3 linked regions of the Arabidopsis thaliana genome follow. The protein of the gene in region 1 interacts with the protein of each later gene in a pairwise test. Each region holds a gene or a part of one and is shown on either strand. Other genes may lie near its edges.

Region 1 (4,008 bases):
CGACGCCGTTTTCGGTTTTAACAGAATTCATTAACGTCTGCTAACGGGGTTAATCGGATCTATTAATGCAAGTTAACGTTTCGTGATTTTGGCCAGGTTAACGTTTTGTTTTTGTTAAAATGGCTGGTCAACGTTTTTATCATGTTTAATTTGACCGACTTTAGAATTTACGTATTGATTGGCTACTTTTTGAATGTTCAGTATAAAACAACATTTTTCCCAAACTTATATCACATTTTTCATTTAATTTTTGCCTTATTTTGTTAAGGATTCATGATAAAAAAAATCTTCCATGTGCCCCCAATGGACTTGCTCGCCTAGTTTTCAAGTGAAAACCCACATAAAAATATGGAGTAACTGAACCAGATCCAAAATGTTATGTTCAGCCCACATAAGTTACTAAAGTAGTAGCTGTAAGAAGCCCAGCAGCCCAATTGTAGAATCAGTAGCAGATGTGGAGCTGTAAGTTGGAGAGTTTTCATTTCAATGTGCCAATTCACAGCTTTGAAGAGCCATCATCTGCTGTTAGAAATGATTTTCAAATTCTATGCGTAAAATTATTATTTTTTACACAAAATAATTGTGAATGACCGGGTTCAAAGCATATCCCTCCGCATTTAAAACAAAATTATATGAACTATCAAGTAAAAAAACAAAATCATTTCTCTTAAAGTCTTAATATAAAATGAAATGTGAAAGTTTAGGATAGTTGAAAGAGAAAAATGGTGTTTCATATTTGAAGGAAATTTAATTAACTTAAAATTCAAGTATAAACATGTCATATATAGTGTTTCTTATAAATACTTTATGAATAATCAACATAAAGTTATAAATCTCTTTTTTCGTTTTTTACCATGTATTCTTCTTTCTAATTCCGTATAGTATAGATAAATACCCATAAGTATAAACAAACATGTTAACGATGGTATATATATATATATATATATATATATATATATATAAAAGAATTTACATATTAGAGAGATGTCCAAACTTTTGAAATAATTAACAATTATTACTACTCGTTAAACAATAATAATATTTACTATTTTTTTTTTTGAAATTAAGTGTTGCTGTATATCCTAAATTTTATTTTAAAATGTTTCGTTTTACATTTTCAATATAAAAACAGTTTTTTTTAATTGATTAGTTATTACAAAAAAATTTTTAATTGTTTAAACAATTTCTACTTACAAATATTGTTGATTAATGTTTTGTTAAACTTGATTTTAGTTTTTTATAAATTAAAAAATTACGAGTCCTTATCTAATATATATATATATATATAATAATTTACATAGTAGAGAGATGTCCGACCTTTTTGAAATAAATAACATTTATTACTACTCTTTAAACAGTAACAATATTTACTATTTTTTGCTTTAAATTAAGTGTCTTTGTATATCCTAAATTTTATTTTAAAATGTTTCGATTTACATTTTCAATATAAAAACAGTTTTTTTATTAGTAATGTTTTATTAAACTATATTAATAAAAACGAAACATAAAATTTATGTCTTTTATTAATTTGTGTGTCATAACCACAATTAGTACTTCCTTTGGTTTTAAGCATTACATGTAGCTAAATTTTTGTTCGGATAGAATTGTTTTAAGAAAATAATTTACCCTAGGTAAGATTTTATATAGTACCCGATACAAGTGGACCAAACTCCAATGTATATTTTATTTGATTATTGTGTGTGTATATATTTATGTTGTAAAAATCCAACACTATCTATCTTTTCACATTCGTCACATCCCCACTAGAGAAAGAAAGAGATATTTGTCTCTCTCTCTCTCTCGTTTTCGCTTTCATATTGAGTTTGACTCTTCGCCAGCCACCGCCTCCTCTCTATCTCTCTCCATCAATGGCGACACCATACCTCTCCCTTCAACCTCTTTAAGTAAAAAAAAAAAAAACTTTTTGCTTTCTCTTTCTCCTCTCCCATACACTTCATTTCTCAAAACCCTAGATTCACCAAAATAAACCCTTCTCTTCTTCTTCTTGTCTTTATGTTCTTGTTTCTTTCATGTCCACATGGATTCTTGTAACAGTGGAAGCTTACAATCTTCGAGCGATGATCACGAGTCTTCATCAACTGGTGCTCCACAAGATCACTCCTCTTTCTTCCTCCCACCCTTCCAACCACCACCGTCTTCCTCCACCTACTACGGTGACCCAACAACCCTCTCTTCCTCCTCCTCCTCCTCCGCTACTTATCTAAACTTTGTCAACAATCTCATCTCCGACGACATTCTTAACCAAACTCATCTCCTCCCTCCTCAACCTCCACCACCTCCTCCTCCTCCTCCTCCCTCTTCTTCCCGAAACCCTAGAAAACGAACAAGAGCTTCAAGAAGAGCTCCTACAACTGTTCTCACCACCGACACTTCTAACTTCAGAGCTATGGTTCAAGAATTCACCGGCGTCCCTGCCTCTCCTTTCTCTCACCCTTTCTCCTCCACTACTCGCCGCTTCGATATTTTCCGATCTCCTTCCGATCCTCTTACTTATAACCCTTTTCGTCCTATCCCTCAAAAACCTTTGAATCCTTCAACATCTTCTTTACTCAACCTTCATCACCACACAACTACTTCCATGACGTTTCCTGATCTACCTCTCCCTCAAACTCACCAAGTTTCTACGTTCCAGTCTCTTTTATCTCATCAACATCATCATCAACCAACACTCTCCTCTCTTCACGACCTTGACTCGATGAATCTTGGAGCATTACAACAAAATCACCATCCTACGGCTGATGATGACAACCACCAGCTAATGATGAGGCAGTTCTCGGAGTTTGATCGCCGGACAGAAAAGCCACCGGAGATTCATAATAACATTTCCTCTTCTTCTTCAGCTCCGATCAAAGGCTCTTCAGGTACTACTACTACTACAACAACAACAGTTGATCCCTGGATTTGCCCTACAGATTCCAATAATTAAATATCATATTACATTATTTTTTAATAATTGAAACCTTATCTTAAAATCAGATTGTAGTCACTGAGATTGAATTATCATAATTTTTTTTACGAATGATATATTCCGTCGAAATATTTATTCTCATATCTAGTGATTATACTCTGTCTACACGTTACGATGACCCATAATGGGGTATATGATTCTCTCCACATGTTGTAAGTACTGTATGTAATATAATGTATCTATGTATATGTTTTTACGTTACAAATTTGGCTCTTAGGTCTTGAAGAGAATCTAATTCGGATTTGGTTCGTTGGTCTACAAGGACAGTTCACACGTGTAATGTGTTTTGTTCCATCGTTACTTTGACATATCTTCCCTCTATATATTATAGGTTTTGTAGTCTAATTAATGTCCCGGCAACTTTTTTTTAACTACTCTCCATCCCTGTCTGTACGAAATAAAAAGCTAGGTCTTAGTATTTGTCCCTTTCTTTTTCAATGTAGTTTTTTTTTTCTATTTTTGTTAAAATGTTTTCGACGTAGTTAGCTAGAGCCTAGAGATTCAAAATTACTCACATACATGTTTTTCTCTTACAATGTGTATATATATATATATATATATATATATATATATAAAAATATATGTTACATATGAAACTAACTACAAAATGAGATGTTTTCGTGAAATAATCAAATTATTTTTGTTTGATTCATTTCAACGTTGAGAGTTGTGTCCCATATTAAGTATCGCCTTAATAACAGATTAGTAGTTTAGTACTGCCAAAACATTTACGGACATTGTATAGTGAAGCTAGGACGTTCGAAATGGATTTCAATTTTTTTTTTTTTTTTGTTATATATATAATTTTTGGATTGTCAGATTATGGATAACAGTTTTAACTAAAATATAATCTAAATTAAATAACTAAAGTTTAACATTGTTTTATTTCCAAGCCCGGATTTAGTTTTCTTTTTTTAAGATATAGGAAAAATAAATTCATTTTTAACGATATTAAAGTATAGTTTAGTTTTTTGGATTTGATTATTTGAGTTCAATATTCAGATTGTCCGAATTGAATT
Region 2 (4,162 bases), on another chromosome or scaffold:
GGTTGTGATCACGGAGATGTCAAATTTTAATAAAGTTAGACGAAGATCGTCTAGATTTCGGAGAAAGACGGACGGCGACGAGGAAGAAGAAGAGAAACGATCTATCCCCACAGGTCCAAATCCTTTGCACAACAAGTAGAGTACTGACTACTGAGAAAGATGCAACATACTTCGACTTCGTAAATTGTTCGTTTGGTGTATATATGTATCGTTATAAGTTAGTTTACTTTTCAAGATTAATAGTCTTTAATTAGGTTGGGTTGGAAACTCTAAAATAGTATGAGATAAATTTCAATTGTTTCTAGCATTTAAATTTTGTATGCTCAAAGTTGCTGGAACGATATGGCAAACAGAAATAATGGAATCGAAAAAATATCGTGATATGTTAGAATAAACTGAGTAAAAGTACGTTTTTGTGAATTTTCTTTTGTCATTGTAATTTGTTTTAACAAAATACAGTATTATTCTTTTTTACGTACTAATAAGGTATATTGTTGTATATATAAAGGTCAGTAACTTGTAACTCATCTTTTTTTTTTGTTTTTTTTTCTGTTTTAGCTGATAGGTGGTTGGTGTTCATTAATAAATGTCCATATATCACTTTCAAAGCAATTCACTAAAATATAGATATGTAATTATTTTTTATTTTTTCAGATTTTCCCCTTGAAAAAGGGGTTCTTTCAATTAGAACCCCACACTAACACACTCCTTCACTTTTGGCCAGCCGCCCTTCTTTTTCAGTCTTTCAGTTTATATTTTAGCCTCTTTTTTAAAAAATACTATATTTTATTGCTTTTTCTTCTTCTTAATTACTTTAGTTAATCATAGTTAAAACACATTTTTTTGTGCAAACGTTTAAGTTTTAACACTATCTGATTTTAAACTTTTAATCATTTGCATGTAAAATCACTCAAATAGGTAATATTTATATGATTCCAGTCATGTGTTTCTTAAAAACAGAGCCACACTACATGTTTCTGTGTTTATTCTCAGTTAATTAGTTTTTATGTTTGTTTTAACACAATACAGAGAGAATATTATTGTAGTTACAAAAACAATTAAGAGTGGCACCAAGAAATTTCGTCTTACCTTTTAAGACAAGATTAAAAGACCACTTTGAAATTTTGAATCGTTGACTTAAGAATAGACTTAGCAAAAAAACTTGGTCATACATATATGATATATGTGTGGGTCAACGATTCATATATGTATGATGATACATTGCAATGTGCCAAAACTTCTGGAAGAACAAAAAACGACTAATAAGAAAAAATAAAATATATAAAATGTTGCCAACATTAAAAAACGCATTTGCTGTTTCCCATCAATATTGGAGTATAGTTTATATAAGATTTTTAACAATATTATAAGCTAGTTAATTAATAGAGTTAATCTTTGGTAAAAAAACAGACGGAATTTTATAACTTTCGAAATCATATTGATCTGCATATATATATATATATATATATATATATATATATGTGGATTCACCAGACCAGATGAGATAACCATTTTGAAGGATTTGCTAAATAAAAGTTAGGCCAAAAAGAAATCAATAAAGTTTGTGACAATATCTTTAATAGTATAATTTACATTTACATAATTCAATAAGTCAAATCTTATTGTGTCTTGGTGTGCACTGTAAAGTAAAGTCCTGTCTGCTTCAAACGCAGCATAAGCAAACTTACAACTTAAATCCTCAGCCGTTGATCCAAAGACCAAAATCCAATTATCAACGTTACCTAATGTAGACGATAAAATCTCTTAAAATGGGCCCGTAAAGCCCAAGCAAAAAAACAATTACTTTAAGTGGAAGCTCACTTTTCGCCACCCTTATTAACGTCTGTCCATACGTCATAACAGATGACGTCATCATCATATTCCTTTTTTCACACGTGGCATTGAAGCACCTTCCTAGTATCTACCCTGAAATTGCTTGACATAAGTAGTAGTTGTTTAATAATCTTTATCTCTTAATTATCCTCTTTTCTTAACAAAAACTTGTTACAATAATTTTCATTTTTATATAAATAACTGACCATTATAACTCTTTCTCTTCTCTTCTTCACTTGCTCTAGTTCTTGGATGCTTTAAACCTCTCTCTCTCTCTCTCTCAATTATTTTTTTTTCTATTTCAAAAACAAAAAAAAATGAATATCTCTCAAAACCCTAGCCCTAATTTTACGTACTTCTCCGATGAAAACTTTATTAATCCGTTTATGGATAACAACGATTTCTCAAATTTGATGTTCTTTGACATAGATGAAGGAGGTAACAATGGATTAATCGAGGAAGAGATCTCATCTCCGACAAGCATCGTTTCGTCGGAGACATTTACCGGGGAAAGCGGCGGATCCGGCAGCGCAACAACGTTGAGTAAAAAGGAATCAACGTGAGTTCCTTTTTAATTATTATTGTTGGCAAGATTCTTAACCAAGCAATTAGTATTTCATTATATATAGTTTTATTCATTAATCTTTTTGATAATAAATATTGTAGTAATAGAGGAAGTAAAGAGAGTGATCAGACGAAGGAGACGGGTCATCGAGTTGCATTTAGAACGAGATCGAAGATTGATGTGATGGATGATGGTTTTAAATGGAGGAAGTATGGCAAGAAATCTGTCAAAAACAACATTAACAAGAGGTAACTTATTCATTTACAAATTACTCATTTGATCTAATTAATATGTTTTACTAGTACTTGTTTTTAACATAACATATGGTTGCTTGATAATTTTCTATAACCATCTTGTAATCCTGTTGTTATAGAATATATAGCCACTAGCTAGCTAGACCATATAGTGATTTGAATACTATTTAATGGACCCGTATTATCTACCAACCCACTTGGAATAAAATTTAGCTTCTATATACATCATGCATGTGTGTTTTGTTTATACAAATATATAAAAGGTTCCTATAGCAAAATTGATTGATTAGTGGTATATGGATCAATGAATCCATGGTTGATAATCAGTCATCGTATAGATTTATTTTGACTCATATATCATAAGAGAAACAAATATAATGAATTCATCATCTAAACATATCACTTTCATTCAAAGCATGGTTTGAAAGCAATTTACACACTCTGTAATTGGTTAATGATATTCTTATATATATACATACATATATATATATATATATATATATATATAACTTGGTGCGATATATTATAAAAGTGATTACAATTTAACATGTGGTGGATGAATTTATAATATAAAGGAATTACTACAAATGCTCAAGTGAAGGTTGCTCGGTGAAGAAGAGGGTAGAGAGAGATGGTGACGATGCAGCTTATGTAATTACAACATATGAAGGAGTCCATAACCATGAGAGTCTCTCTAATGTCTATTACAATGAAATGGTTTTATCTTATGATCATGATAACTGGAACCAACACTCTCTTCTTCGATCTTAATCCAAATCTCTCATCCTCGTTGAGATTGTAAGATACCAACAATATTAATATTATAATCTCAATGCTTTGTATAATTTGATAGGTGTATAATAAAGGAGTTACTTATTTCGTGGTTATAAATGTTTAATGTATGTATATTGCTATGAGTACATTTTGTAGGTCACTGACTCACTAGATATAAAATCTTAAGCGTATATTTATTTAAAAAGTAGTGTTGAATTTTTTTGGGTCACGGTTGTCCAAAATACTGCGATCTGAATCCAATCCTTATTTGATTAGACTCAAGAATGATTTAGAAAAACCTGAATTACTTGTATTCTTATATCCATTATTAAACCGACATTTGACCCGAAATGCGTCAGACTAAGATTGTACCGGGAAGGAAATGTGAAAAAAGCAACTTGTAAAAAAAGCCTGTGTGACAGCTCTGTAACTTGTAAGCGTCAACGAGGTCAACTGTTTCGGTTTAGTTGTTACCGGTAATTTGGTTTATAATGGATTTTGATCGGTGTGATTTATGATCCGGTTTTGGTGCGTTGTGTAGATTGTCCCGAACCGATCTCATCTTCTACCTTTCAACAACTTAAGCAAGGAAACGAAGTCGTTTCATATCTGTTCTTCCGCCCAAATCTCAAACACTAGTAAGTAAATTCGAAGGGAGTCTTGGATCTCTCTGATCTCGATCCAGATTCTCTCTACTTCTCTTATCTTCGATAGAGAAATTTGTATCTTCAGATTT
Region 3 (4,821 bases), on another chromosome or scaffold:
TTGTCTCCGTTAGATGAGCCTCCGTAGCTTCCTTCTCGTTCTTTGCCGTCAATCTCTTTGTCTTCCAAACCAAAATAAAAATAAAAGATTATAACAAAATGAAACTAATCAATAAGGAAATTAACGAGACACCAAATACGTCAAGTGATCATTGATTCAAGAAGACCCATGAGTCTCTGATCCGCTTGTTTCAGTGGCTCGAAACAAGACTCTTGTATACGCACCTGGCCAACAAAAAAGGCTTTGACATAGCTAAACCCTTCCTGGCATGTTACTGCCATGGATAAACAGTTAGTCTTCACTCGATCGGACAAAGACTTCGCCGGCTGTCGTGATGTCTCGGCGTCTTGCATCGCTGCTTTTTCGAGATAGATAGATTGCTTGAAACTTGAAAGCAAGACTAGGAAATATCTCACTTTCTTGTGCCAATGATGATTTTTTTTAACTATTAATGATTCTGGAAGCAACTCTTGCCACGTCTGTTTTACGTGTTAGCTGTAGAGATACCGACGTGTATTAAAGCAAGAGGCTATTTTACTTTGGGCCTTTTGGGCTTTTGGGCTGAAGAAAGAAACTGTCATCGGATCAACAAACACTGCATAGTTTGCAACTTGCACGGTAAAGCGACACAAAATCCATGACGTTTAATTTAGGTTCCACGTGAAGAACCATACCACATATCGTGCAATAAGAAACTGATCACTTTTATATACCTAAACGATTTACAATTTACACTACTATGCTTGACACGATATGTAATTTTTTTTTTTTTGCCAAAGGGTGTTGTTATTGATATTAAACATTGTACAATACAACGTACATAGACTGTTTATATAAAACAAGGACGTCTAGATAAAAAAAGCAAATAACAAATATTACAAGACTAGTTAAGGAAACAACAAACTGAGTAAGGTTTTATGTACAAAACAGAGACGACTACCAAAGAAGAGGGCCAGACGTGGTAGCAGTGATGGAAGACAAACATCCTGACATCTCAATAAGAACATTTATGGCTACTTCAAATACATATATACACAATATGTAATTCTCTTATTACATTTATGGCTACTTCAAATACATATATACAAAAAAAAAAGGCCTACCTTCGACAGAAGTTATACCAATTTATTGATCGGAAGCTACAAAATGTTATCTAGGGTCAATTTGTAGCCTATCTCTATATCAAAACCGATACGGATACAAAATAGTTTGATAATCATAGAATTTAACATTCTAATAAATATTTGTTTCTAGTATTCTTTAAATGAATAATCTTGTGTTCAATTAGTCTATTCATAGTAGAATTAAGTCTCCTAAAAAATAGATTGAAACCAAAAACAGCCGCACATGGATTTAATATCGACTTTAGTTAGGAGGTTTTGCTAAAAATAGTAAAATACTCACAAACTCACTTCTAAATACTAATCTTTTACACTCATGTCATGTGCTTTAAAGATATGAGAGAACCTTTCCTAGTACACCTACAGTCAAAATTTTCAAGATTCCGAAATTTTCTAGGTTTTTTGAGCAAGAGCCAAGAATCCCAAATGTTTGAATTTGTATTTTTGATCCAAAAATACTACAACATCGTATAAAGAATAAATCATACGTGTCAGAACGAGACATATGAAGATGATGAAAGCATTGAGCCGCCCCTCAAAAAATCCGTTCAACGTTTGAGAGTCAAGGCCACAAGGTCTGACCAATCTATCTCTTCTCCTTCTTCTTCTAATCATATTTTCAACGGTCAAACTTTTTATCACCTTCTCAGAAACTACTCTTCTTCATATGTGACCCTAAAAATAAAAACGAACAATTAAACAAAATTTTAAAATAATATAATATTCACCAATCAGACGTGCAATATGTTTTATATATTCAGACATAACCAACAAATATACAGAAACAAGAAGAAGAACAAGAACCATCACTTCTCTCATTTTCTTCTTCTCCAAGCCCCCCTCCTTTCTATATATATCTGAAATTGGTCTTTTATAAAACAAACTTCCATTTTTCGTATGGCTGCTTCTTTTCTTACAATGGACAATAGCAGAACCAGACAAAACATGAATGGTTCTGCTAATTGGTCACAACAATCCGGAAGAACATCTACTTCCTCTTTGGAAGATCTTGAGATACCAAAGTTCAGATCTTTTGCTCCTTCTTCAATCTCTATCTCTCCTTCTCTTGTCTCTCCTTCCACTTGTTTCAGTCCCTCTCTTTTTCTCGATTCCCCTGCTTTTGTCTCCTCCTCTGCTAACGTAAGCCTCTCTGTTTTTTTTCTCTGTTTCTTTTGAAATGAATCCAATTAGTGATGATAATCTGTGTTTGATGTATCATTGATTTAACATCTTGACAATGAATCGTGATCGGAAGTGATAAAGTTATGGGTCAACGGTTTCAAAGAGAGAGAAAGACTTTTAGAGTCAACTCTCGACTCTTTCTTAATTATGTTATTGCTATTTGTCTCTTTTCTTGAAGTCTGAACAATTCTTGGGATTGTTTTGCAGGTTCTAGCTTCTCCAACCACAGGAGCTTTAATCACAAACGTAACTAACCAGAAAGGTATAAATGAAGGAGACAAGAGCAACAACAACAACTTTAACTTATTCGATTTCTCATTCCACACACAATCATCAGGAGTTTCTGCTCCGACCACAACTACAACTACAACTACAACTACAACAACAACAAACAGTTCTATCTTTCAATCTCAGGTATGTACTTCATCAACAGCTCAAATCCTCTGTTTATGAGTTTTTCTATAACTTTGTTTTGAGTTTCAGGAACAACAGAAGAAGAACCAGTCAGAACAATGGAGCCAAACCGAGACTCGTCCAAACAATCAAGCTGTATCTTACAATGGAAGAGAGCAAAGGAAAGGAGAGGATGGTTACAATTGGAGAAAGTACGGACAAAAACAGGTGAAAGGAAGTGAGAATCCTCGGAGTTACTATAAGTGTACTTTCCCTAATTGTCCAACGAAGAAGAAAGTGGAGAGATCTTTGGAAGGTCAGATCACAGAGATTGTGTATAAAGGAAGCCACAACCATCCTAAACCTCAGTCTACTAGAAGATCTTCTTCGTCTTCTTCGACTTTTCATTCAGCTGTGTACAATGCCAGTTTGGATCATAATCGTCAAGCTTCTTCTGATCAGCCTAATTCCAATAATAGCTTTCATCAGTCTGATTCCTTTGGGATGCAACAAGAGGATAATACTACTTCTGATTCTGTTGGTGACGATGAGTTCGAACAAGGCTCATCGATTGTCAGCAGAGACGAAGAAGATTGTGGGAGTGAACCTGAAGCAAAGAGATGGTACAGATCATCATCACCCTCCAAATTTGCTACTCTTTGAACAATCTTGAATATGAAAGTTCTAAAATGTATGTTTTTTTGTGTTTTCAGGAAAGGGGACAATGAAACAAATGGTGGGAATGGTGGTGGAAGCAAGACAGTGAGAGAGCCGAGAATCGTAGTGCAGACAACGAGTGATATTGACATTCTTGACGACGGTTACAGATGGAGAAAATACGGCCAGAAAGTCGTTAAGGGAAACCCAAATCCAAGGTAATAACATAAACAATTGTGCATCTCAATAACTCAGAATTAAGGTTCTTGAGAATCTGACCTTTTGTTTTCTTTTCATTTGCTGAATCTTAACAGAAGCTACTACAAGTGCACAACCATCGGTTGTCCAGTGAGGAAACATGTGGAGAGAGCATCACACGACATGAGAGCAGTAATCACAACCTACGAAGGGAAACACAACCACGATGTTCCTGCAGCTCGTGGTAGCGGTTACGCCACAAACAGAGCACCACAGGATTCGTCTTCAGTCCCGATTAGACCAGCTGCTATTGCTGGTCACTCCAACTACACTACTTCTTCTCAAGCACCATATACACTTCAGATGCTGCACAACAACAACACTAATACCGGGCCTTTTGGTTACGCCATGAACAACAATAACAACAACAGCAACCTTCAAACGCAACAAAACTTTGTTGGTGGTGGATTCTCTAGAGCAAAGGAAGAACCAAACGAGGAGACCTCATTTTTCGATTCGTTTATGCCCTGAAGAAAAAAGGAACCAGTTGTTCCTTTTTTATGTTCCTTTTGTACATTTCTGCCACCAAAGGATTTTACTACTTACTAGTTATCCTGCAGGATAGTAAGTCAGACTTCTATAGTCCATAGAGAAATTTTTTCATTTGTTTTTTCACACGCCTGTAATATGTTTAATGTTTGTACTTTGTACCATAGAACTAGAACACGGAATAAAACCAATCAATTTTCAGTTTCTTCACTTTGAATAATGAATCAAAGAAGCACACACACACACACACAGTGACACAGGGAGACACAGTGACAGTCTGACAGACCCAAATAACAGAAGTTGATATCAGCTATAAGAACACATAAAAGAATTGACATTTACATGTATAACAAAGATCACAATGGTATATAACTACTGAAGCACATTATTGCAAAGAGATCTTCAGATAAAAGAATGAGTGGAGAGTTTGTAACCGGAGAAGAGAGCAGAGAGAGCTAAAGCAATGAATGCGAAGATAGCCATACTTATAGCAGAAGCAGCAGAATCAGTGAAAATGTTATCTTGACCTTCTCTGAATATGTTTGTCAATGGAATTGCAGATGATGCAGCTGATATAAGCAAATACGCCACAATCTGCAAATTTCACTTTTTTGCATAAAAATCATAACTTTACATATATAAATCTGAGAATTGATAATCAGTTTGTGGCATTACCTGGTCGCCGGAGAAATCGACCAAAATAGAAGTCCGGCGATCGAAA

What was found.
Region 2: the proteins of AT1G35830 (region 1) and WRKY51 interact in a two-hybrid assay, tested with the Arabidopsis thaliana proteins (one study listed by BioGRID).
Region 3: the proteins of AT1G35830 (region 1) and WRKY33 interact in a two-hybrid assay, tested with the Arabidopsis thaliana proteins (one study listed by BioGRID).

The regions. Positions count from the first base shown.
Region 1 is NC_003070.9:13,320,153-13,324,160, reverse strand, and holds AT1G35830 (VQ motif-containing protein), read left to right. Parts: upstream 1-1,649; 5' UTR 1,650-2,038; coding exon 2,039-2,947; 3' UTR 2,948-3,486; downstream 3,487-4,008.
Region 2 is NC_003076.8:25,906,265-25,910,426, forward strand, and holds WRKY51 (WRKY DNA-binding protein 51), read left to right. Parts: upstream 1-1,982; 5' UTR 1,983-2,150; coding exon 2,151-2,392; intron 2,393-2,499; coding exon 2,500-2,646; intron 2,647-3,227; coding exon 3,228-3,423; 3' UTR 3,424-3,617; downstream 3,618-4,162. Other genes in the region: CLE21 (CLAVATA3/ESR-RELATED 21), read left to right, coding at 1-139. UniProt on the Arabidopsis thaliana protein: Transcription factor. Interacts specifically with the W box (5'-(T)TGAC[CT]-3'), a frequently occurring elicitor-responsive cis-acting element. Involved in defense responses.
Region 3 is NC_003071.7:16,106,458-16,111,278, forward strand, and holds WRKY33 (WRKY DNA-binding protein 33), read left to right. Parts: upstream 1-1,777; 5' UTR 1,778-2,018; coding exon 2,019-2,261; exon of another isoform or gene 2,262-2,510; coding exon 2,511-2,717; intron 2,718-2,786; coding exon 2,787-3,319; intron 3,320-3,409; coding exon 3,410-3,571; intron 3,572-3,667; coding exon 3,668-4,082; 3' UTR 4,083-4,309; downstream 4,310-4,821. Other genes in the region: AT2G38465 (uncharacterized protein), read right to left, coding at 1-61, 225-353; AT2G38480 (Uncharacterized protein family (UPF0497)), read right to left, coding at 4,503-4,694, 4,776-4,821.